3 linked regions of the Alligator mississippiensis genome follow. The protein of the gene in region 3 interacts with the protein of the main gene of each other region in a pairwise test. Links are inferred from orthologs where the notes say so. Each region holds a gene or a part of one and is shown on either strand. Other genes may lie near its edges. The genes, in order: PKNOX1, MIS18A and NUP58.

Region 1 (7,788 bases), about 130 Mb from region 3:
AGCACTCTATAGAGATATTTCATTCAATGATCTCCTGGTATAGCATTCACTTCTGCCACGCCTGGAAACAGGATACTGGGCTAGATGGACCATTGGTCTGACCCAGTGAGTGCATCTACACAAGACAATGCACAGAATACCCTTCTACTGTGCACTGGCACAGCTGGCAAAAACCATGCTAATGCGCAATAGACTTAAGTCACATGCATTAACATCACATTAAGAGTGCTCATCTGCACTAATGTGTAGTAGCACTGATTTTGGTGCATTGTTAGTACCTGTAGTTGCAGGTACTAAACTTAATGCGCTGTAATTACATTAATCAATGTGTAGACACGCCTAGTAAGGCACTTCTTATGTTCTTCTGAAGCTCTCATTTGTGCCTTTTGTTGTCAGAATGCAGGGAAGTATCGAAAATTATTGCTACTTGCAGGGACAGGCACTGAGCATGTTTCACTGCCCAGAATAAACCAAACAGCAAAAAATATTCTCATTTGTAACAAAATTTGAAAAACTAGAGATTTTGGATAAGCTAAAAACCAAGGATGAAATCAAATGAGGCAAGATACTGTTTTACCCAAATATATGGTTTGTTACGTGTGTAGGTTCGACAATTTAAACCAATGCATGATTAAATACAAAAGCAGTTATTTTCATATTTAAAAAACACAATTCTGCAATTTTTGGCAGAGGTATTAAGAAAGTGAGTCTACAATATATTTTTTTTTTTTGCCTAAAACTGCCCTAAATATTGTGACTTTGTATCAGGGAATTTCTAATACTGCAGCAGTCATTAGCTTTCTACCCTTCAAGGCAATTTAAGAGACTATGGCTTTCTGCATGCACAATTAACATTCATTCTTGCAATAAGTACGTTTTACCACTTGGACTATACCAGGATCTGTAAAGTGATACAACTGCTGCAGCGTTGGTAGCTATACTAATGATATGTATTTTTTAAAAACCTCTAAAAATCACATCTTATCAAAAGAGTGATACTGTAGCAAAAAGAAAAGTGAAGAACACTTAGAAATAAATTTCTAAGCAAGATGATGAACACCTGAATAGGTAAACAGCAATATGAGTGCTCACTTTATTGTAAGATTTTTAAAAAGGTGAAAAAATGCAAGACTATTTTAATTGAATGAGATTTTAGAATAAAGGGACTGTGACATAAGACAACTGTGACTCAAAGGTTCTCCAAAGTCTGCAAGCCAGGCCAAAACACAGTCTCTTCACTTCAGTAACCAACTTAATGGAACACGCAGCAGATTCCAAAAGGGGCTGAGGAAAAAAATGAACCCTGCCTGGACAGCATTTGTAACTGTGTGGCCAAAACTATATATATAGCAGGTACAAGACTCCGATGAATAAGGGAAACAGATCAGGACCCTAATGGTCTCCCCTGAGATACGTTAGTTACCCTAAATGAGGAACAAATCAATCAATCAAAGCTGACTAACACAGCATTTTGCAACCCATGGGTCATGACCCAAAACTGGTTGCAAGAATACATGAAAGGGTCACAAACTTTAAAAATGGATTTTTCTTTAGAGAAAAACGTGGGAAACTGTGGTTTTTCCCTTGCAGGCTGGCAGAGCTCCATCCCCTCAAGGGGCTGCTTGCCCCCTCCCCCCCCGCCCCCGCGCACACTGGGGGCACTGGGCAGCAGGTCAGGAGTGAGGGGCATTGGGTCCGGGCTGGCCATCGATGTTTACAAATGGGTCCTGGTACAAAAAAGGTTGAGAACCTGGGCACCAGCAGGAAAAAAAAAGTCAAGATAAAAAAAAAAAAAAAGAGGAAAAAACCCCACGCCACTGCAACTACACCTCTAAAATCATTTGGAGCATTAGCTGCCCAGAACCACTGCATGGATAAAATTCAAGAGAGAAAGAGTGAAATGGAGATTGAGAAGTAGAGATGCAGAAGCACAGAGCAGGCCCAGGTGCTGGTGTCGGTGTTAATACATGAGCTCAGAGCAGGTCCGGCCCCGGGGGAGCAGTAGCTCCCAGGCCAGGCTGCGGAGAAGCCCGGGGGACGCTGGGCGGCCCGAGGTGACTATTACATCTGCTGGCGGCAGCTGCTGCAGAGCCGAGCCCAGCCTCTGGGGCACACGCAGCAGCCGGCTCAGCAGCGGGCAGGTGGCTGGACGCAGCCAGCCGCCCTCCCCGAGCCGCGCGCACCGCGACCAGGCCTCGGCGGGCTAGGCGGGCCGGGCTCTTCCGCTGCCCCGCCGGGGCGGGGCCTCACGCTGCACGCGCTTGGGGGCCGCGACTGCGGCAACGGCTGCCCCGCCTCCTGCCGTAGGAGTGGGTGCAGGGGCAGGAGGGGGCACTCGATACCCAGGCGCTATGAGAAACCCCCCCCCACCCCGGGCCGCACTACTACTCCGGAGGGAGCTGTACCGCTTCCCCGCGGACTACACCACTGCGCGTAGGGGGGCGGGGGGAAGGGAGCCCCACTGGGGCAGGTGTTAAGACCAGAGCTAGGGACCCCCGGCTCCATCGGAATGTGCCCCAAGTTGCTGCTGGGCCTTTAAATACCCCCCCAACACACGCGCGCGCGCGCACAGCTGTTGCCCACACCCGGCCGGCGCGCGCTCGCCCAGACAACGGTTCCACGGCGGCTGTTCCAGAAATTTCCTCGCTCCCCCCTCCCCTGCCCGCCACCGCCCCTCACCCCCGCCCTTCCTCCCTCTCTCCCTCCCTTCCCCCCCCCCCGCTCGGGTTGGGCATGAGCGCGAGCGGCCCCCTCCCCCGCCGCTGTTCCGTGTGGCGGGCTGCCCCCCCCGCCCCCCCGGCCGGGCCGCGCGGCACGGCGCGGCGGGGCTCCGGGCGGCGGCGGCGGGCGCGCCGTGATGGATGGCTGGCGGAGCTGGCTGGGAGCGGGTTTGAGTGACAGCGCTTACCTGGGTGCCAATCTTCGTCACACTGACAAGCGGCTGCAGCAATCGGGACCCGCACCGCCGCGACACGCGTCACCGCGCACACCCGCGGCGGGCCAATCGCCGCCCGCGCTGCCCGCCACGACACCGCGCCGCGCGCCACGCCTCATCAATATTCACCCCCGCGGGGGCGGGGCCCGCCGCGGACACGCCCAGCGCCGGCCGCTAGCTTCGGCTCGGGGGTGGGGCCACCGCTCCTCTCTCTCTCTCTCCCCGGCTTGCGCGCCGCCAGCCTTGTGAATATTCATGAAGGGGGCGGGGACTCGCCCAGCTCTGCACCGCCCCTTTCAGCTCGGTCGGGGGTGGGAGGGAGATGGAACTAACTCTCCGGGGTGGGGGCAGGGGGAAGATACCAAATGAAGTAGAGGGTGGGGGGACTTGGGGAAGATACCAAATTAAATGAGGGGGAGGCCACGCACTCCTCCTGGAAGGGAAGGGGTGGTTACTATGCAGCCCCCCAACTCAGGCCTCTGCCCCACAGGCCCTCCCTTGTGGGCCCAAGGGCTCTGGGGGTTGCAGACCTGGCCTGGGGCTGCCCCAGGTGCTCCTGTGAGCCCCAGGGGAGTGGTGTGCTGCAAGTGGCGCCCCAGGGTGGGCCGTGGCAGTCCCAGCGCCATGCATGCCCTGCAACACACCGCTCACCAGCTCCCGAGAGCACATGTGTCCCCAGCACTATCCCCCCCTCCTAGAAACACCGGTCCTTGAGAGCCTGGCAGCTAGCAGACTGCCCCGCTGTTGCCACCCAATTGGGCGACACTGCCCATCTGTACAGCGCCACCCTGAATCGGGAGAAAGATCAGGCAGCGTGTAGGGGGTGCTCAGCTCCTGGAGGCTCAGGGCACCCTTTGGCTTGGGGTTGCCAACCCACCAGCATTGCCCTGGTGTCTCTAGGAATGAGAAAGAAATCTCCAGGAGACTGCTGGGAGTCACCTGAGAGATCAATGACAGGGCGTTCATTAAAATAAAGATTAAATGTTGAATCTGATTTGTACAGTAGTCCAGTGGGTTTTTAAAATGTAACAGTCACGTGCATTTGCCTTCTTGACATAACGTCTACACACCATAATCCGTACCTGATACACACAAGTACGTGGGCGCATTCGTGTTGTGTTGCAGGCACACTGGCATTTTGGAAACCTCCTCGAATAGACTCAGGGTTGCCAACCCTAGTTAGGCACCCGGCCCCTCTTCGCAGGGTGCTTCTGAGGAAAAGCCGGCTTTGTTTCCCCCCTCCTCTCCTGTTTTTGGGGTTTTTTTGGATTTATGGAAAAGTACAGGGGCCATCGGCCTGTCCAGAAAGCCCACAGCAGGGCAGAACATTTGCCGTACTCTGGGGTCCTCTTGGAAACCTCTGGGTTTCTCTCCGGGTTGTGCTGGCATGCCTCACATGGGGCATCCCTAAAGGATCTCAAGGCCGCCTGGTTGATAATACCTGCCTCACAGACTAGCTGGTTCAGAGAGGCCTGAGCTCGCAGAGGCAACAGGCAGCCTGCTTCGTTCAATGCCATGAACGGAGGGGAAAGGGGCAGCCTGGCTCCCTTTCCCCTACAGAGAGCAGAGTGCCTCCCCACAGTGCCAGCCATGGTCTGGTGCCTGGCAGGAGCTTGTTTAAAAACCAGTGATTTGTCCCAGGTTTTGCAGCCCCGGGCAGGGTCAGGCCAGGCAAAGCTGCCTGATGGCCATGAACCCCTGCTTTCCCTGGGGACCTTCCTGCATTCAGGGCCTATCTTGACTTCCCTGTAAGCCCAGTAGCTAAGTTTGGGTTTTTTACAGTCCTCTGCCAGACCAGGCTGTTTGAGGCAGCACTGGTCAGCAGAGCCCATGTTACCAAGACAAGTTACCTGAGCATATATGCAACAGGCTTGTCACATATCCCTTGCACATAGCAGCTTTTGTCCCCTGCTGTCATGCCCCCAATCCGTTCCCAGCTGATGTCATCCCAGTTTTTTCTTTGGGAATCTAGTCACCCTATGCTGCCATCCTCACTTGGCCAGTCACAAATTGTCATCTGGTCCTTTTTCTTGCCTCTTTGTCAGCTCTTGTGCTCACCAGTTTTCTTCGAGGCAGGCAGAGCAATGTGGAGCTAAGGACTGTGAAAATAACGTTTGTAAGATTCAGCAAAGAAAATAGAAGGGAAATCAGGATCACCCATCTCAGAAAGTCTGCAACATTTAGAAACTGAAGAGAATGAAAGGGAGGAAAAAAGAATAGAAAGTGAGAGGAAGAAGAAAAAACAGTGGAGAATAATAGAAGATGAAAAATTTGGAAAATTAAATCCTTTTTTCTCTCCATCTCTGGGTGCTAAGATCTTACTGTGCCTCTCCTTCTCAGTCACAAAACATTGAGGACTCAGTACCACAGTGAAGGTTTTCTCCACAATAAATACATTAGAAGATTACTCACGCAACTGGCTTACTATTACACTGTGTTCTTCACAAATACAGGTGCACACAGGAAGTCAATGGTGAAACTTAAGTGTCAGTCACCTTCTTTTCTTGGACAGCATGGAACTTACAAGTAAACCTGGCTGTACAAAATGTTTAATACCTGCAATAACACATTGGAAGAAGCTTTGAATAAGTGGCAACATTTATAAGCTTTGCAATTGCAAATGATGATGAAATACCAGTCTTCCCAAACTGATTTCAATTTGTGCAAGTAGAACATATTGAGCACTGAAGTTGTATGTGTATCCCTAAATCAGATACATTTAACAACTGGGCCTGGAAACAATTTTATACCTGGTTAAATTTATTGCAGTGAGTAGTACCAAGTTATCTGAATGGTGGGCATTTGTGTAAGTGCTTTTAGGGTCAAGGTCTAAGTTACTAAAAGTACTTTACCTACCACCTAGAACACCCAGTTCTTTTCTTACATTTGTATCCCAGGTGTACCGGAGTGTGCAAGCCCCCTTTCCAATAGAAGGGGATGATCAGCAGGGCGTATGTGCTGGAAATGGAAACTGCAGCTTGCTCACAGCTTACCCTTCTCCAGTGTCTCTAGAGGAAGACCAGGACACAATATCTTAACTATATACATAGTTTATTCAGATGCAGAATAAAAGGTGAGGGGATAGAATAAACTGGATGGGTGATAAAGATAACTCTTTACATATAATACATTCAAGTCAACAAATAATAGGTAAGTATAGCAGTCCCCAAGATCCACAAGAGAAACCTCACCCATGGATCCTCAGAGGGTAAGTATGTCCCAGCAACTGGTGGGTAAGCGCCCCCAAAATGTAAAGCACAATAAATAGTGAATAAACTCTTCAGAATAGAAAACACAACAAGCAATTAATAAACACTCCAAAATGTAAGGCATGATAATCCCAAATGCCCCCCTCCTCTAGAGGAGTCTCTCTCTCTCTAGCCTAAACCCACTCTGATATCCCTCCCCAGTGGGAAACCCCTTGTCCAAGAAGTCAAGCTTCCCGGTGAGTAGGGGTTCCCAGTGTTTCATCCCCAGCTAGGCAAGTGGCTCCTGCAGTGAGTGCTCTGTCTCATTCCCACGTGGCTTGTTCACATGTCCAGATGGCTCGGTCTTCTCAGCAGGTTGTGTGCCCAGGACCAGGGCTCCAGTACAGGGCCGCCTTGCTGCGGAGCCTGCGCTGCCCATGGGCCATTGTTCCGAGCAGTGGGGAATGGGGAACCACCCCCTGCCCCCTCCAAGGGCCCTTGGCCCAACAATGGCTCACCATGCAGCAGCGTCTGCACTGGTGCTGGGGTTCGAGACCTGAGCCACTTTGAGCAGCTCACCGGACCCTCCATGCAGTGACACCTGCACCATCCAGCCTCATGTTAGGGTTGGAGACCCAAGCCGCCTTGAACAGCTCTCCAGGTCGCAGTCACTGTTGGACCCTCTGTGCAGTGATGTCTGCACCGGCTCACTGTGCTCTCTCATGGCAAGGGGTTGGGGACATGGCTCTTCAGGGCAACTAGAAGCACCCCCTGGGTAGCTCTTCCCTAGCTCTTCCTCAGCCCCAGCTTCTTCTTTCTTCTCCATCCCTCATCGTCTCCACACACCACCCTCCCCCCCCCACGTGCTGTGCATGTAGCTCCTTATATACCCTTTTGGGGCTCTGCCCCAAGACTGAAGCCTAGCCAATCAGGGGAGATGGAGCACAGTCTTCAATTTGGTCTGCTCCTCACCTCACCCTGATGTAGGGGCAGGGCAAACTCTTCCTGAGGCTCCTCCCCTGCTGGTCTCTGATGGGTGGGTTTGTCTCACCTATTGCTTTGGCAATTCTCTAATCCTGAGGAACTGGGCGAAGATAGGCAAGCCCACCATACATTCTTACAGTTACATTTTAGTGCAAGTGGGATTGCATGCACATACATATGTAAAATATCAAATATAACTTTGCATACATGAGGTGAGGTCAATGTGACATCCTTAACATTTGCAATTCTGAAGTCCTGAATGTTAAAACTGCATGCTCAGTATAACGGTGATGTAGATTTTATACTTAATACTTTCAGACAGAAAAGGAGGAAACTTTTTGTTTCAAATATTTGACAAAAAAAGAGTCTTTCTGATTTACTTTAAAGCTTTTTTATGGTTAAACATTGAAAAGAATGTTTAAAAAGTGGATGTGGGTTCCTATGCACTGGCAGCAACTAATATGTGTAACAGTGATCAGAATGAAATGATGTTGTATTAATAGGGTTTCCCACAGCTTTCCTTTGAACTGATATCAGTTCAAGCATTGACACGGTAACAATGATGGAAGGTCCCTATTGCAAACAAGATTCTCTTTTTTTCTGCTACTGTAAAAACAGTTAACTAAGACGATTAGATGTCCCATAGCTATTTGGACAGCATCCAGAAAAGCAGTCTTTGTG
Region 2 (7,199 bases), about 140 Mb from region 3:
AACTTAGGGACCAGAACCTCTGGAGACAAGTGCTCTTCCTCGTTATAAAGAAAGGTGGCCAGAAATCCAGAGATGCATTTAATTAGCAACTTTTGTTTTTGTCAGAACTGTTCTTGGGAGGAAAGTTTTCTGAACATCTAACTTTCTGAAACTGGCTGAAATTAGAAGCAGTTATGTAGAGACACTGTATGGATGTTTTCACAGTTGTAATGAACTTTTACCAGCTTAAAAACTAAATCTTACCCTTTCTAGTGCCTCTTCCAAGCTACCTCGACTTTGAAGAGTTAAAGGCTCCTCCTCAGTTACAGCTTGCTTTTCTGATGATCCTAGGATGTAACTGATATAAAATATTTAATTATGTAATATTCAGTCAAAATGAGAAATAACCACACATACCTGGCATTTTTATAACACCAGTCAATGCAATTAGATGAAATAGAGGATGGTGCTAGTTTGTCAATCTGTAAGCCAAGAAGAAAATGTAGTTTTGTAGACCTATTATACAACAAGCATACAAGAATTCCCTATTGTCACCGATACAAATTAACATGAAGAAAGAGAATGAACTACAGGGATAACATAGCGCAGGGGGAATAAAAACATGTAAAAACAAAAAAAGTGGATGACGCTATTCAAACTTCTGAATCGGAAGTGTCACCTAACCAACCAATCCCTAAGTTAATGAGAACAGGAACAAAGAGCAACATCATTCAAAGAGCTAACATAATTGATCCAAGATTTAATTACTGAAAAATATTTTAAAACCTTCTGTTTAATAACACTACAGAAAGCCAGGTTTTAATGCTGTAGGTATATCAATCCTGACCTTCCAGATTTAAGCCCAAGGAAGCCAAAAGGTGTATTTCTTCACCCAGTTTTCAGCATGCTAACTTTGTCCTTAGACGGGTAGTTAAGACGCATTTCCTCCAAAGCAGTAGTTCTCAACATTTTTAAGACTCGAAACATCCCTTCATAACCTGAATCAAGTGGTACCCTATTTAAAAAATGAATATCAGTCAGTTTTTAACTAGAGAAAAATGACTGAAAGAGCAATTCTTCTGTTGCAACACACACAGAAAGATCACACCAGGTCAGAAGGTTTTTGACACTGGATTCCTATTTTAAATCTCTGGGTTTATTTTGTGAAATGTGTGGGTGTTTGTGCACTTAACTTTGCTAGCACTGCAGTGCCCCACAGCACCTTTAAAAGGATCACATGGCACCTAGGTTGAGAACCACATATCTAAAGGCTTGTCTTCACCTAGGTCTAATTTGATACCTTGATACTTGGTCTTTACATACACAGACTTCTGGGTAGGATTGCAGCCAAGACACCGTATTCCAGTCTTGTGTATGTAATGACACTCGATGTATTTGAACTATTTCATGAATGAACACCTAAGTTATGAAACTATCAGGGATTACCCCACATCAAATGCAGAATCTTTCCATATATCGAGCATTCCAACATAGACAGCAAAAACAGAAAATACATTTCTTAAACTAAAGGAGTACAGAGAAGCAACCAGTAACCATCCCTACCCTTTCACGAGTGTTGTAAACTCCTGAATAGAGAAACATCCTCCATTTCTGACAGTGAAGCAATCAAATTAAAAGGCAAAAACACTTGCACGCTTACCTGACAAGAGGAACTGTGGCAGGGGTGGGCAAAATGACCACGCCAGCAGCCAGACTCCATTTCCCAGCAGCCCCTGCCCTCATGGCTAGGGCGGTTCTCCATGGAGACCCCAGCCCCTGTAGAAGGGCAGGCTGGGGTTGTTGTCATGGAGACCAGCCTGAGCCGCACCAACAGCATGTGTGGCAGAGCAGCGCAGGGGGCTGCTCCAGAGCTGCTGGGAACACGGGATGGGGGCAGCTTGCTCCAGAGCCAGGAGAGCCGTGATCTGCAGCCTGCACACTCCAGGCAGAGGCGTGCAGGCAGGGGATTGTGGCTCAGGCCCAGCTCTTAGAAGCAGCGACAGCCTGTTCTGGAGCCAGGGCACAGCCACAATCCCCTGCTCAGAGTGTGCAGGCTACAGATCATGGCTCTGCCCTAGCTCTGGAGCAAACTGCCCCCATCACAAGATCCCAAGAGCTCTGTCACACATGCTGCCAACATGGCTCAGGCTGGTCTGCATGACAACCCTAGCCTGAGCTTTCCTGTGCAGGTGCGGCTGGGGTCACCATGGAGACCGGCTCAAGCCATGCAGGCAGGGGCGGCTGGGAGCTGGAGTCCACAGCCGACTGGACCCGGCTTGCAGGCCAGACTTTGCCAGTCCCTGAACTATGGTCTTACCTTTCAATAGCGTCAACGCTGAAACAGAATAAATCTCTCTTATAGTCCAGGTGTTTGGGGGTGCATCTGTAGATGGTCCCAAGATTCACTGAGCACCCAGAGCAGAGCAGCGTTTCAATCATGCTACAAGCAAAATACTTATCACTAAATTAGCAGACGTCGAGAAGAATTTTTAGGATGACCAAGATTAGTCAAATACCCACTTCTGGCCTTCCCGCATCCACCCCCACTGCGGACATCTTATACAAACAGAGAGCACAGCTAAGAGGTCTCAAATGTATCCAACTGGCTCTGCCCCCTACGGTAGCCATCCCCTGAGCCGGCCCCCGCAGGGGTCACTCACCAGCCGTACTCGCCGGGCCGGCTGGACAGCTTCTGCTCCTTATCCACCAGCACGTTGGAAGTGACATCTGCAAGGGAAAGCCAACCGTCACCAACCGCCCCCCAACGGTCGGGCAGACAGGGATGAGGGGGACGGGGTTGATGCAGGGCAGGACTCACTGCGCAGCATGACACAGGACCCCTCCTCGTCGTTGGCCTCCCAGCTCAGCGTGTCGCCCACCGGCCGCTTGCAGCCGGCGCAGAGAAACACCATAGGCAGCTCCTGCCCCTCCTCCTCCACTTCCCCCCCACCGTTCCGCCCCGCCGCCGCCGCCTCGGGCCCGCAGCTGCTGTCTAGCCCCAGCACGGACAGCTGCGAGTCCAGCGCCACGCCCGGCGGTACAAACGGCCCGCCCGCCATAGCCAACCACCCGGCCAACGGCCGCTGGCACTCCCCAGCCAATCAGCGAGCGCCGGCAGCGGAAGCAACGCACCCGCAGCCTCAACCCCACGGCACAGCCCCGCCTCCCCTTCCGGAAGTGGACAGGAGTACGCCCCGCCCCTTTTCTGCCCGTCACGTGACCGGCGCCCTTGCAGTTCGGGCCATAAGGGGTTTCGGGCGTCAGTGCAAGGGAACGGCTGGTATGCGCATGCCCGAGGGGCTGGACTGGGCGTTGATCCAGTAACATTGAGTTTTATTTATTTATTTGGTCTAATAAAAGATATTGCCTCCACCCAAAGACTTCGCCCGCCTTTCAGCATTGCCAACTCTCATGATTTTGGGCAGTCGTTGTTAAAGGCCACACTTCGGGAACGTGAAAAGCGTAGCTTTTTCTTTTATATATATATTATATAAAATGTTATACATAGTGTGTGTGTATATATATACACACACACACACACACACACACTGTATAATATAACATTTTATATAATATATACACACACACACTATGTATAACATTATATATGAGAGAGAGCTACTTTTTAAAAATTCCCAAAGTTAAGAACAACGCTAAAAATCACGAGAGTCGGTGACACTGTTTGGCCCAATAACAAGTACCCACACCCACAAATAAAAGTCCTACCTTCCACATGTTTGCAGGGCAGACACCCCATCAGCGCTGCCAGGCATTTTCATAGACTGGGGGTGGGCAAGATCCGGTCTACTAAGGCATTTTGTTTGTGTGCAGCCCACAGCGGGACCGCCTGGCCCAGGCATGGGGGCAGCCCAAGCTGTGGCACATGTGGGTGATGCCGCCATCCTTCTGCTAGCCAGGCATCCTCCCAACACCTGAAGATGCCTGGCTAGCAGAAGGACAAAGGGAGAACAATTACTTCCCTCCCTGGTTTCTGTTTCCTACTTTGTATATGCCATACCCATTTATTCAGAGTCAGTCTTACCACAGCTTCTTTACAATTCATTCGTCTCCCTGGTTTATACAGGCATTTCACAAAGCCAAGGGGAGAACACTATGTTCTCTTAAGAAGAGAACGGTATGCTTGTAAACCCCCAAAATACTGGAAGGAAGAATGGACCAAGAACTATCCTGATCTGCGGGGTTCCATTTCTGTTTTGCCACAGATTTCTTTGGTGACCCTGGACCAGTCACTGAGGCCCAGATCCTCAAAGGGTTGTACCCAACTCCTGCTGAAATCAGTGGACTTCAGACATCCAGTTACAGTGTAGGGTCTGTGTGGAAGTCTTTACTTCTCAGTTTTCAAACAACCAAATGCAAACACTACTTCTCTACTTTGCAGGGAGTGTTCTGAAAATGTGTGTGTCGAAGAGTGCAAGGTGCTCAGATACTTCGCTGCGAAGTGGATCACAGAAGGATCTAAGATAGAGAGATCGATGCATATTTTGATCTTGACTAGAGTTAATTTTAACTAACCTGATGCCAACTGCTCTATTTCTAATTTCCAGCCCGCATTAAAAATAAGTGCTCCCGTGAACAGCGCGTGTCCCCAGCAGCTGGGGGGGGCACGGCTGCGCTGGCAGCAGCAGGAGCCTGGCAGCAGTGAGTGGGGAGCTCCCACAGATGCCACCGGCACTGTCGGCAGCCAGGGGAGGGGTGACGAGTGCTGACCAGAGGTCAGTGACCACCCGCGACCAGGGGTGATCATGGGCTGGCGGCGGTGTGGCAGGGACTGCACCCCCTTTTTGCAGGGGGCGCACTGCCATGCTCACGGGGTGCACATGCACCCACGTGCACATGCTATGCGTTACCCCTTAGTGCTCCTTTACAGTTTGTTTGTTTTGGAAATGCTAGCAGAGATTCTACTTCCACTGTATTTCCTTTGCTCCAGAGCAAAAAAAAAATGTGGCATTGTTTAGACAGATGCTTTATAGTGACTAAACCTATTACCAGACTGTCTCCTTTGAGAATGAAGTTTTCCAGGACCTGCATCTGAATAAATTGCCATCTCTGATTTGAAAAGCCATGGTGCATCTCATAGTCCTTAGGGATAGAATTAAAAACTAATAGAGGGTCTGTTTCTCTGTTAATGTTAGTCATTTCTGTGCTAATAAATTAGATTGAGCATGTATGTTTATATTAGTGTAGGCACTTCAAAGGTTACTTTTGGCAACCTTTGAAGTGCCTTCACAAACATAAACATACATGCTCAATCTAATTTATTAGCACACAAATGAATCTATTTTGCTTCTAGGCTGATGGGGCGGGGCTCTATTTTTATGTTGTTTTTTGGCAGAACCAAAGGGGTGTTAAAACACAAACATTTTTAATATTTCATACATAATGTATAGTTGCTTCAATACTTCCTTATGTTTATGAAGTGTTTCATGAGGTCCTTTAGGGGTCTGTATATGACATATTCAGTATTGTTTTTAGTATATTTTATATTTGGCCGGTCAAGAATATCTCTTTCGTTGTTGCTAGGCACTCATTGTGACGAGTTATAATTTAGCTTGGGTTTTGTTCATTCTTTTACTGTCTACCTTGCATCTGTATCAATATAAAACAGTATGGGAAGTAGTACATATTTCTCTACCTAAACAGTAGATGACACGTATAAATTTGGTAGAAGGTACGCATCTGACAAAGTAGTTTGTTGCCTACAAATGTTCATGCTGCTCTGAACTAGTTAGTCTCTCAGGACATTTTCACATGGTTCGGGGGTGAGGGAGAGGGCTCTGAGAGCTGCTCTAATTAAAGCACCCAGAGCATCTCATGTATTAGCATCCCCATGCTTCAAAATAGTGGCAGGGGTGCTTTATCTAAAGCTTGTTGAACAAGTTTTAGTTAAAGTGTCCCCGCCATCATTTTGTAGTGCGAGGACATTGATACATGAGACGTGGAGGCTGGCTGGAGCACACTAATTAGCATGCTTCAGCTGGTATCAAGTCTGCTCCGATGTGCTGTAATTACAGTGTACTGGAGCAGCCTCCCAGCTCATGTACAGGCACCCTCAGGTGCCACCCTTCCCTGCCTTCTGCCCAGTGGTGTACCATGGATCTTCCATTTGCACCCCCCCAATCCACGGCCGATCGCTAAGTGGGGAGGGAGGGTCCCCCCAACAGCCAGACGCTAAGTGGGAGCAGGGCCCGGCGGCCAATTGCCAAGCCAGGAATCACCAGTGGCAAAACTGGAAGTGCCACCAGGGGACTGAGTACCCCTGCCCCACCAGTCCGGCACCCAGGGGCATGGCCTCCCCATGCCTCACTCCCTTTGGTATGCCACTGCTTCTGCCTGACTTCAGACTAACAAGGCTAACCCCCTCTGTGTATAAGTTTAGTATTAAATGTCTGTCACAGGCTGATATTAATTTCTGCTAAGTTTTTTTAGTATCTGAGCAGTCCTTGAGCTGCAGGATGTGAGGTCTTCCAGAATGATTTACATAGGCATCAGGTACTCAGTGTCTTTTTGAGAACTCCAAAGTACAATGAAACAAAGTATCAGATCAGAGCAGAGCTGATTGAAATATACTACTGAAATGGCTAACAAAACAAACTCATCTGAGTATTACTGGTCTTATGAATATTATTGGGACTATTTTGATCCATTTCCAGTAGATGGAAGGATGTTGAAGGTTCATAAATGTAAGTACTACATGTAGCAGCTAATCTACTATGGGAAGCATTAGAAAACAGAATAGGATGACTAGTTTCTTTTACATGTGTTTTCACTTTGTAATATAGACCATACTGGAATACATATATTGGGCAATATATGCTGATTGGGTTCTAATACCAGCTGATGCTAATGGTACAATATTATTTTATTTAGTATAAAGAATGTATATTCTAGAAATATTTTGGTATTAACTCCTAATTGGAAAGACAGCTTATTGAACTCTTTATTAACTGGAAATTGTTCTGAAATGCAGATAAATGGTTTGACATATTCCTGGCTATTTTGTACAGTAGAATAACAATAGATTAATATGCTTACAGATTTGCCAGTTATCTTTCCTTCTTGAAATACAAGGTTTGCACTGAAATTTTTGTGCATTTTTATATATTATTGAAAAAGAAGCTGTATTTTGATCAGTTAGGAAGAGCCACAAATTGAATACACATTTGCTACTTATTTCCTTATTTCTTTAATCTGGCATTCCT
Region 3 (7,237 bases):
CAAATCAGGGGTGGGCAAAATACAGGCCAGAGGGGCTTTGTCCAGCCCAAGGCGGGTCCCAGGGTCTCACCTGGCCCAGGTGCTGTCCAGCCATGGCACATCCTGCCGTCCCCTGGGCACGCAGTGGGGCTGGAGTGGCTCCTTCTGGCTGCCGCTACTGTTGGCTCCAGCCCCGCAGTACTGGCAGAGACTCACATGGGCAGCCCTGACCCCGTGTGCCCCATGCCTGCTCTGGACTCACTCGTCCAGGCTCAGCAGCAGTGGCTGCTGGGCAGAAACTGTTGCTCAGTGCAGGAGAAAAGCAGCCCCTCCCCCTCGCCGCTGCCAGGCAGTAGCTGATGCAGCTGCCTGGAGCCCGCGCCATACCAGGTTGCCCTGCGGCTCTGCCACCACCACTGCTGCCTCTGGGCTGCTCAGCATGGTGACAGTGTAAAGCAGCCACAAGGCAGCCCAGTGTGGTGCAGGCTCTAGGTGGCTGCACCAAGAACTGTCCTGCAGCAGTATGGGAAAGGGGTTGTTTTCCCCCTGTGGCAAGCAACAGTTTCTGCCTAGCAGCTGCCACTGAGCCTGGGCAGGCAAGTCTGGAGCAGACGCAGGCCACACTAAGCTGGGGCTGCACGTGCAGTGGTACCACAGGGCTGGGACCAGCGGTGGCGGCAGCCAGGAGCCACCCCAGCCCTGCTGTGTGCCCACAATTTTAAAGCAATTTAGAAGCCTACCAGTACCTCAATACCTATAGTAAAATAAATTCTAAATACCTATGAATTTTAGCATTTGATTTTGTGTTTTTGTCATGGGGGAAAAAAAATCAGAGCTCTCGCTGCCCCCTCCACTCACCAGGACATAAGTCCAGCTGCGGCTGTCCCCTCCCCGAACTGCTTTGTGGCACTGAACAGCCCCGATATGCCAGCATCCTGCCTCTGTCATTGCCCCCCACCCCCCCAACCCTGTCAGAGGGGGCCCCCAGCTGCCAGGGCTAAAGGGCCAGGGACCCAGGTGTGCAGCCCCCTGCTCCCTGCAGCAGCACCCGAACACCAGTTGCTGTGCACAGGAAGCAGCAGCTGCTGCAGCCCCAGTGATGAGTGGAGCATGAAGCCCACAGCAGGAATGCAGTGGGGGGGGGGGAGGGGGAAGAAGTGGGGGGTGGAGTGCAGACTACCCACTGCAGGCTTGGGCTCCCCAGCCTGCTGCCCTGCCCCTGGGGCCTCTGCAGCCTAGTAGGTGGTACCTGGCGCAACAGGGCAGAGCGGGGCTGGGCACATAAGCTCAGTGCCCTGCTGCACCAGGTCCCACCCACTGGGCCATGGAGGCAGCCTGAGTTTTTCCATCATGAACGGAAAACCCAGATCCCTGTTCATGATGCATTATCCCTGCTTTTTTGTATAAGTTTGTATAAGACACTGTGTTATGTAAAATAGGTTTCTCCTGTATTGTAAGAATAAAATCAACATGCACTTCCTACCTGTATTAGTACCTCCTAGTGTAAACCCGGTCGAGGGTTTTGATCCAAAAAGTCCACTTCCAAAACCTACTGAAGGAGCTGACGTAGTTGCTGTAGCAGTGGAGGAACCCAAGGTGCCAAAATTAAGTCCCCCTGTTGAGCTATAAAATTAAACAACTATTAGCAACAATTATTTTTCCGACCAACCTAATTCAAGTCTGCATCTGTAGGTAATTTCATCAATTTATTTACTTGATGCTTACTCTGCAACACATTCAACTTTAACTGCAAGGTAATGCTGTCAGATTTCACTCCCATAAAACAGCATCAAAAGGGGTGAACATATTACCAGTTTATCATCACCAAAGTAGATGCTTAAAATTCTAAGACAATTTGCAAAGCAAGTCCATTTTTGGAAGATCAATACTGTAACTACAGTAAACTGCACTCAATTTATTCAATAAGCATAAATCAAATATATTAGGGTTCTCTTTGACATTAAATGTGAGAGTTTATGGACAGTGGTTTTATGTATCACAAAACATCAGTGGGCTACTATCATGATTGTGAATCCCCTTCAGCATAAATTTCACTAAACCAAACTGCAGGAGGATTTTAAAAGTTTAAAAATTTCAGTTGTGAGGGGGACAATTAGTCACAGACGTGCAATACAAGTTTGTTTATAGTGCATTTTCATTTCTATTTTTGAAGGCCATTATGAAATAAACTTGCCTTCTTCAGACTAACGTGGCCAAGTACTTTTCCCGATTTATCAATTGACATTTGAATCATAAATTAAGATGCAGTACCAGATGTCAAAGCCAGTTAGCAGGAAACGGTTCAGTACATCGTTAATATAATGCCAGATGCTGCATCTTTGAACGGCAGCCTGAACACTGCCAATTGGGACGTGATGCTGTTTATCCTTATAATAAGCAACTCCTATGGTTTGGGGCACCCACCCCACCCCTCAGGTCTGGCTATAACCAGCCGCCCTCATTAGCCAGGCTGCCCCTCGCTGTGGAGAAGATGGGACGTCAATCGTTTCAGAAGGATGACACTTTCATGCCATCCTTACACAAGCCTGGACTACCCCACAGCAGGGATACCCAACTCCCTGCCCTGCTGTCAGGGTCCCTGCCAGGGTCCTTCCGGGGGGGGGGGGGGGGGGGGGGGGGGGCAGCCGCGGCAGCCATCGCCCCTCCCTCCTGCCCGATCTCCGCACCCCGGGCCTCGCAGGCCGGCGCAGCCTGCGCTACCTCAGCGCGGGGCCAAGAGGCGGTGGCGCAAGGCCCCGATGCACAGCGCGGGGTTGAGGGAAGCGGCGCCGGGTCCGGTCCACTGCCAGCCCGAGCGCCCCCCGCACCGGGCCCCGCGCCCCGGCTCTGCCCCGCGGTACCTGGGCGCGGCGGCTCCGAAGGAGAAGCCCCCGCCGCCGCCTCCTCCCCCCGCGCCTGCGGCGGCGGCGGTGGCGGAGCCCAAGGTGCCGGCCCCGAAGGAGAAGCCGGCAGACATGGCGGCGGCCGAGGAGCGCGGCCTCCTCAGCGCCGCATCGCTGCCGAGCGCGGGCTCCACTCGAGGTAGCAACGCGAAGGGCGCGAAATGGCTCCTGCGACGCCCCGTACCGCCTGCCGCAATGCACCACGGGATACTAGCGAAGTCAGGCCAGTTACCGTCGCACCGGGTGCGTCACTCCCCTGTCGCCCGGCTTAGCGCGCAAGGCTGCAGGGGGCGGAGCCAACGTCCTGCCGCACGCCCTTCTTCCGCCCTCCGCGCTTGTGCCCCACCCATCGCGGGTGCTGGGAGTGGTTCTGCGCTTGCGCCGGGAGCCTCTGGAACCAGCACGGGGGTTCGGCGGACACAGCGTTACGTGATCCCCTGGCGGAGCGCCCGGCTGGGTTGTGGCCTTGTGGTGGCGCTCTTCTTGCGGGCATAGGGCTGTCGGCTGGAGTCGTGCTGCCTGACTGTATCACCGTGTGTGGGTGTGAATGTCTGTATACATATATGTGTGTGTATCTATATATATATATATATATATATATATATATATATATGCAGGGGTTTAGGTTGTAGCCATGTTGGTCTAAGGACATAGGCGGACAAGGTTCCTTGGGTGAATTTGATATCTTTTATTAGACCAACCCAAATGGTTGGAGAATGGTTATTAAGCAAGCTTTTGGGTTCAAAAACCCAACTGCTGAAGCTTCCTTAGCCTGACGAAGGGTTTTTGAACCCGAAAGCTTGCTTAACCATTCTCCAACCATTTGGGTTGGTCTAATAAAAGATATCAAATTCACCCAAGGAACCTTGTCTGCCTATCTATATAGATTTCACTCTAAGACCGCTATAACATAGAAGATACCAAAATCCATCACTTGGAATGGAGAAGGCACAAGCTAAAGAATTTTACAGTGTTTATACATGTGCTGGGAGGGTGGCTTTAATGAGAGTGGCTCTAAGAGCCACTCCAGTTAAAGCACCTGAAGCGTCTTGTGTAACAGCATCCTCACGTTTCAAAGTTACGTTATACTTTAAAGCTTGTCCAAAGAGCTTTGTTATTACCATGCTCCAGCATACTCAATTAATCGAGCCTGCTCGGATGTGCTGTCAGAGCAGCCTCGCTACACGTGTAGGTGCTTGCTTTTCTCCTCAGACCTGAAGAATGCTTTGCATTCCAAAACTTGTCTAACTTTATTCCAACAAGGCAGTTGGTCCAATAAAAGATATCCCTCCTCTTTCCTCCCACCTCCCCCAAAAAACCCAAAACTGTCCTTTGCCTTTCACAGAGAACAGATACAAAAGCAATACAGAACTACCTATCTTGGGCTGAAATAATATGTTTAAAAGGTAGAGAGGCCAGATTTGGGGCCAGTACTCTACTTAATTCCAATACAAATGCTACTTAAAGGTAATTTAAGACCCTCTCCCTACCTGGTATAAAACAGGTATAGCCTCTTGGGGCAATGCAATATGTTCAGGGCCAGAAAGAAGAAATTTGTGCTCGGTTTTCTGCAGGTAAATAGTTAAATTGACTTCAATATGTAAAGTTAAACATACACAGAAATGGAATCTTAAGAAAACTGTTTCTCAACAGCAATTAAATACTAGCATGTATGTCTTGAAAGTCCTCACGTGGTGCAAAGAAAAGTGTTTTAGGCTGTTGTGCTAAGCTGTTGTGTTTGATTTGGCTTCTATTTACATTCATATGCACATGCTTGAGAGCTTTCCTTTGTGCCAAAAGCCCCTGTTTTGAGAAACTCTGTACCACCCAGACTTTGGAATACAAGTGAGTCTACCTACGGACAAAGGTAGATGCTGTCCAACATCTAAATTTGATAGTGTTTCCCTGAATATTTACACACTGTTTTGGGATCTGAAAACATAAAAAGTACCATACTGGGTCAGGTCAATGGTTTATCTAGCCCTTGTTTTGAACCTGTAACCTTCACTTCCATTCCTGTTTTCTTATTTGTCCCGAGACAAATCTGTTGTTGCATTCTTAGTAGCCTCCGTTTTAAAGGAGGGCTTATAGTTTTTTGTGGTGGGCCTAAACCCATGTTTCCTGAGCACAAAAAATAGGCCTGTCTGACAGTGGCAGGAGTGGATGCTATGCAGGGAGAACACTGAATTGAGCGTATCCAGAGTGATTTATCCCCTGTTCATTATCCTCCCTGGCATCCACCATTAATGGTTTAGAGATGGTGCCAGAGGATGCTTCTCTGACTGATCTGTTTACTAGCTATTAATAGATTTATCATCAATGAATTTGTTGAACTTGGCTATACTATCTGCCTCCTTTATCCCTTTTTGAACCTGGCTATACTATCTGCCTCTACGACCTCCCGTGGTAATGAGTTCCACAGATTAACTATGTGCTGCATAAAAAAGTAGTTTCTCTTGTGTTAGTTTTAAAACCATCTCCTAACTTCAGTGTGTCCCCTAGTCCTAGAATACTGAGACTTGGTGGATAACAGTTCCCTATCCACAGCCTTCATGACTGTATAGACCAGAGGCCAGGTCAGTTTAGGGGGGCTAGTCCATGAGCCAGTTTGAGCCCCACACACCAGGATGGGGTCCCACGTTGCCCCAGCCCCACGCCCCAGTTGGGCCCTGTGCTGCGTCTGCTCAGCCCTGTAGCATCTCCAGCCAGCTCCTGTATGCCTGGATTGGCTGCACACTTCCTTGGCCAGCTCAGCCTCTCTATGCCCAGACTGGCCCTTTGTTGCCTCAACTGGTCCCTGCATGCCTGGAGCGGCCCTTTACCGTCTTGGTCAGCTCCTTGTGCATCTGATCAGCCTCGTACCACTTTTGTCTAGCCCAGCACACCTGGATCGGGCCTCGCACCACCTCCACTCAGTCCCTCACCCTGGTGCGCAGGGCCATACTATCCATCCTATGGGGCTCCCCCCAGGTCCAAGGATTTGATACTGGGGGAGAGGAGGAAATTAACACTGCTATTGTGTCCTCCCTGCCAAATTTCTGGACTCATGGGGATCCCTGTGGACTAGATGACATGGACATGCAGACTGGATCCAGCCAGTGGGCTGGGGGTTGAGCACCCCTGTAATAGATGTCTATCATATCCCCACTTAGCCTTCTCCTTTCAAAACTGAAAAGCCCTAGCCTTGTTAGTCTTTTCTAGTACGGCAACTGCTCTATATCCCGGATCATTTTGGTTGCCCTTTGTACCTTTTCTAATTCTATTACTTCCTTGTTGAAATGTGGAGACTAGAATTGTACACAGTATTCAAGATATGAACATACCATGGTTTTTAAAGTGGCATGATGATATTTTCCTGATGCCCTTAACATATTTTAGGTTCTTGACAACAATGGAGTTTGAAATGAAGTTTCTTACCTATTTATGACTTCAGGCTGAAGGACCATACTACCAAATAGTTCCAGATACAAATTACGCCTCTGTCTTGCCATGACAGCTGGTGTGAACCAGTCACTTTCAGCACCGGCGAAGATAGTTCTTATCTGCCTTATTGATGAAAACCAGTTGAGTCTGCTAACTTAAAAAAAAAAATTCTATATTTTCTCCATGACCATTTAAGCATTATTCATTTTCTCAGGTTTTGCTGAACCTAGTTGACATGATGATGCCTCAAGGCACTTCCATCTTTTGTGGTTCATTTGACTGTCCCACTGGGGGTCATGATGTCACAAATATTGTCTTTCAGTTGACCAATCAGTAAGCAGCAACTCAACACAATAAATGCAGACCTCATAATAAAGCCCTCCTTGTACTAGGATTAGGATTGATATGTTAGCAATCCCCATGTTTGGATGTGGTCTTAATCTAGAACAGTGCACTTCACTAGAATTAATTATACCATGGACCATTAAGATATGCATCTCAGTTAAACTGAAGTGCAATTTTATAAAGGTTCTCAGAGGGCAAATCCATGTGTAATAATCAGGAAATTCCACACTAATAAGCTTTGATGTTAAATTTTCAACCATAGTGTTGCTGATGTGTTCAGTAGCTGAGCTAGGTTTTTGCAAATGAAGTACTGAAAACCCCTACGAAGAAATTCTGAGATGTTCCCCTGGATTGACTGAATAGAACAGCAGGATTTCAGTTGGGGGCTTCTCATGAAACAGTACCTTGGGGGTGATTTTTGACAGTTCACTTCTGCTTGAAAATCCCTGGACTTTCACAGAATATACAGTAGAGCACAGGCTTCCCCCCAAAGTACTGTGATGATCGTCAGAAGAAACTCCTACACTTCTCTGCACAGAAGAAAACTTTTAGGAGGGAAGCCCCTATCAGCCTCAATGTCCTCTTCC

The links.
Region 1: the proteins of NUP58 (region 3) and PKNOX1 interact in binary tests that used the Homo sapiens proteins (3 or more experiments, as listed by UniProt). The link is inferred for Alligator mississippiensis from reciprocal best matches to the Homo sapiens genes NUP58 and PKNOX1.
Region 2: the proteins of NUP58 (region 3) and MIS18A interact in binary tests that used the Homo sapiens proteins (3 or more experiments, as listed by UniProt). The link is inferred for Alligator mississippiensis from reciprocal best matches to the Homo sapiens genes NUP58 and MIS18A.

What each region holds. Positions count from the first base shown.
Region 1 is NC_081824.1:299,809,122-299,816,909, reverse strand, and holds the start of PKNOX1 (homeobox protein PKNOX1), read right to left. Parts: upstream 3,014-7,788; 5' UTR 2,909-3,013; intron 1-2,908. UniProt on the Homo sapiens protein: Activates transcription in the presence of PBX1A and HOXA1.
Region 2 is NC_081824.1:291,157,293-291,164,491, forward strand, and holds the start of MIS18A (protein Mis18-alpha), read right to left. Parts: upstream 3,101-7,199; 5' UTR 3,039-3,100; coding exon 2,798-3,038; intron 2,707-2,797; coding exon 2,640-2,706; intron 2,420-2,639; coding exon 2,297-2,419; intron 995-2,296; coding exon of another isoform or gene 868-994; exon of another isoform or gene 827-867; intron 338-826; coding exon 244-337; intron 1-243. Other genes in the region: MRAP (melanocortin-2 receptor accessory protein), read left to right, coding at 6,575-6,680. UniProt on the Homo sapiens protein: Required for recruitment of CENPA to centromeres and normal chromosome segregation during mitosis.
Region 3 is NC_081824.1:430,289,441-430,296,677, forward strand, and holds the start of NUP58 (nucleoporin p58/p45), read right to left. Parts: upstream 3,065-7,237; 5' UTR 2,957-3,064; coding exon 2,841-2,956; intron 1,603-2,840; coding exon 1,463-1,602; intron 1-1,462. UniProt on the Homo sapiens protein: Component of the nuclear pore complex, a complex required for the trafficking across the nuclear membrane.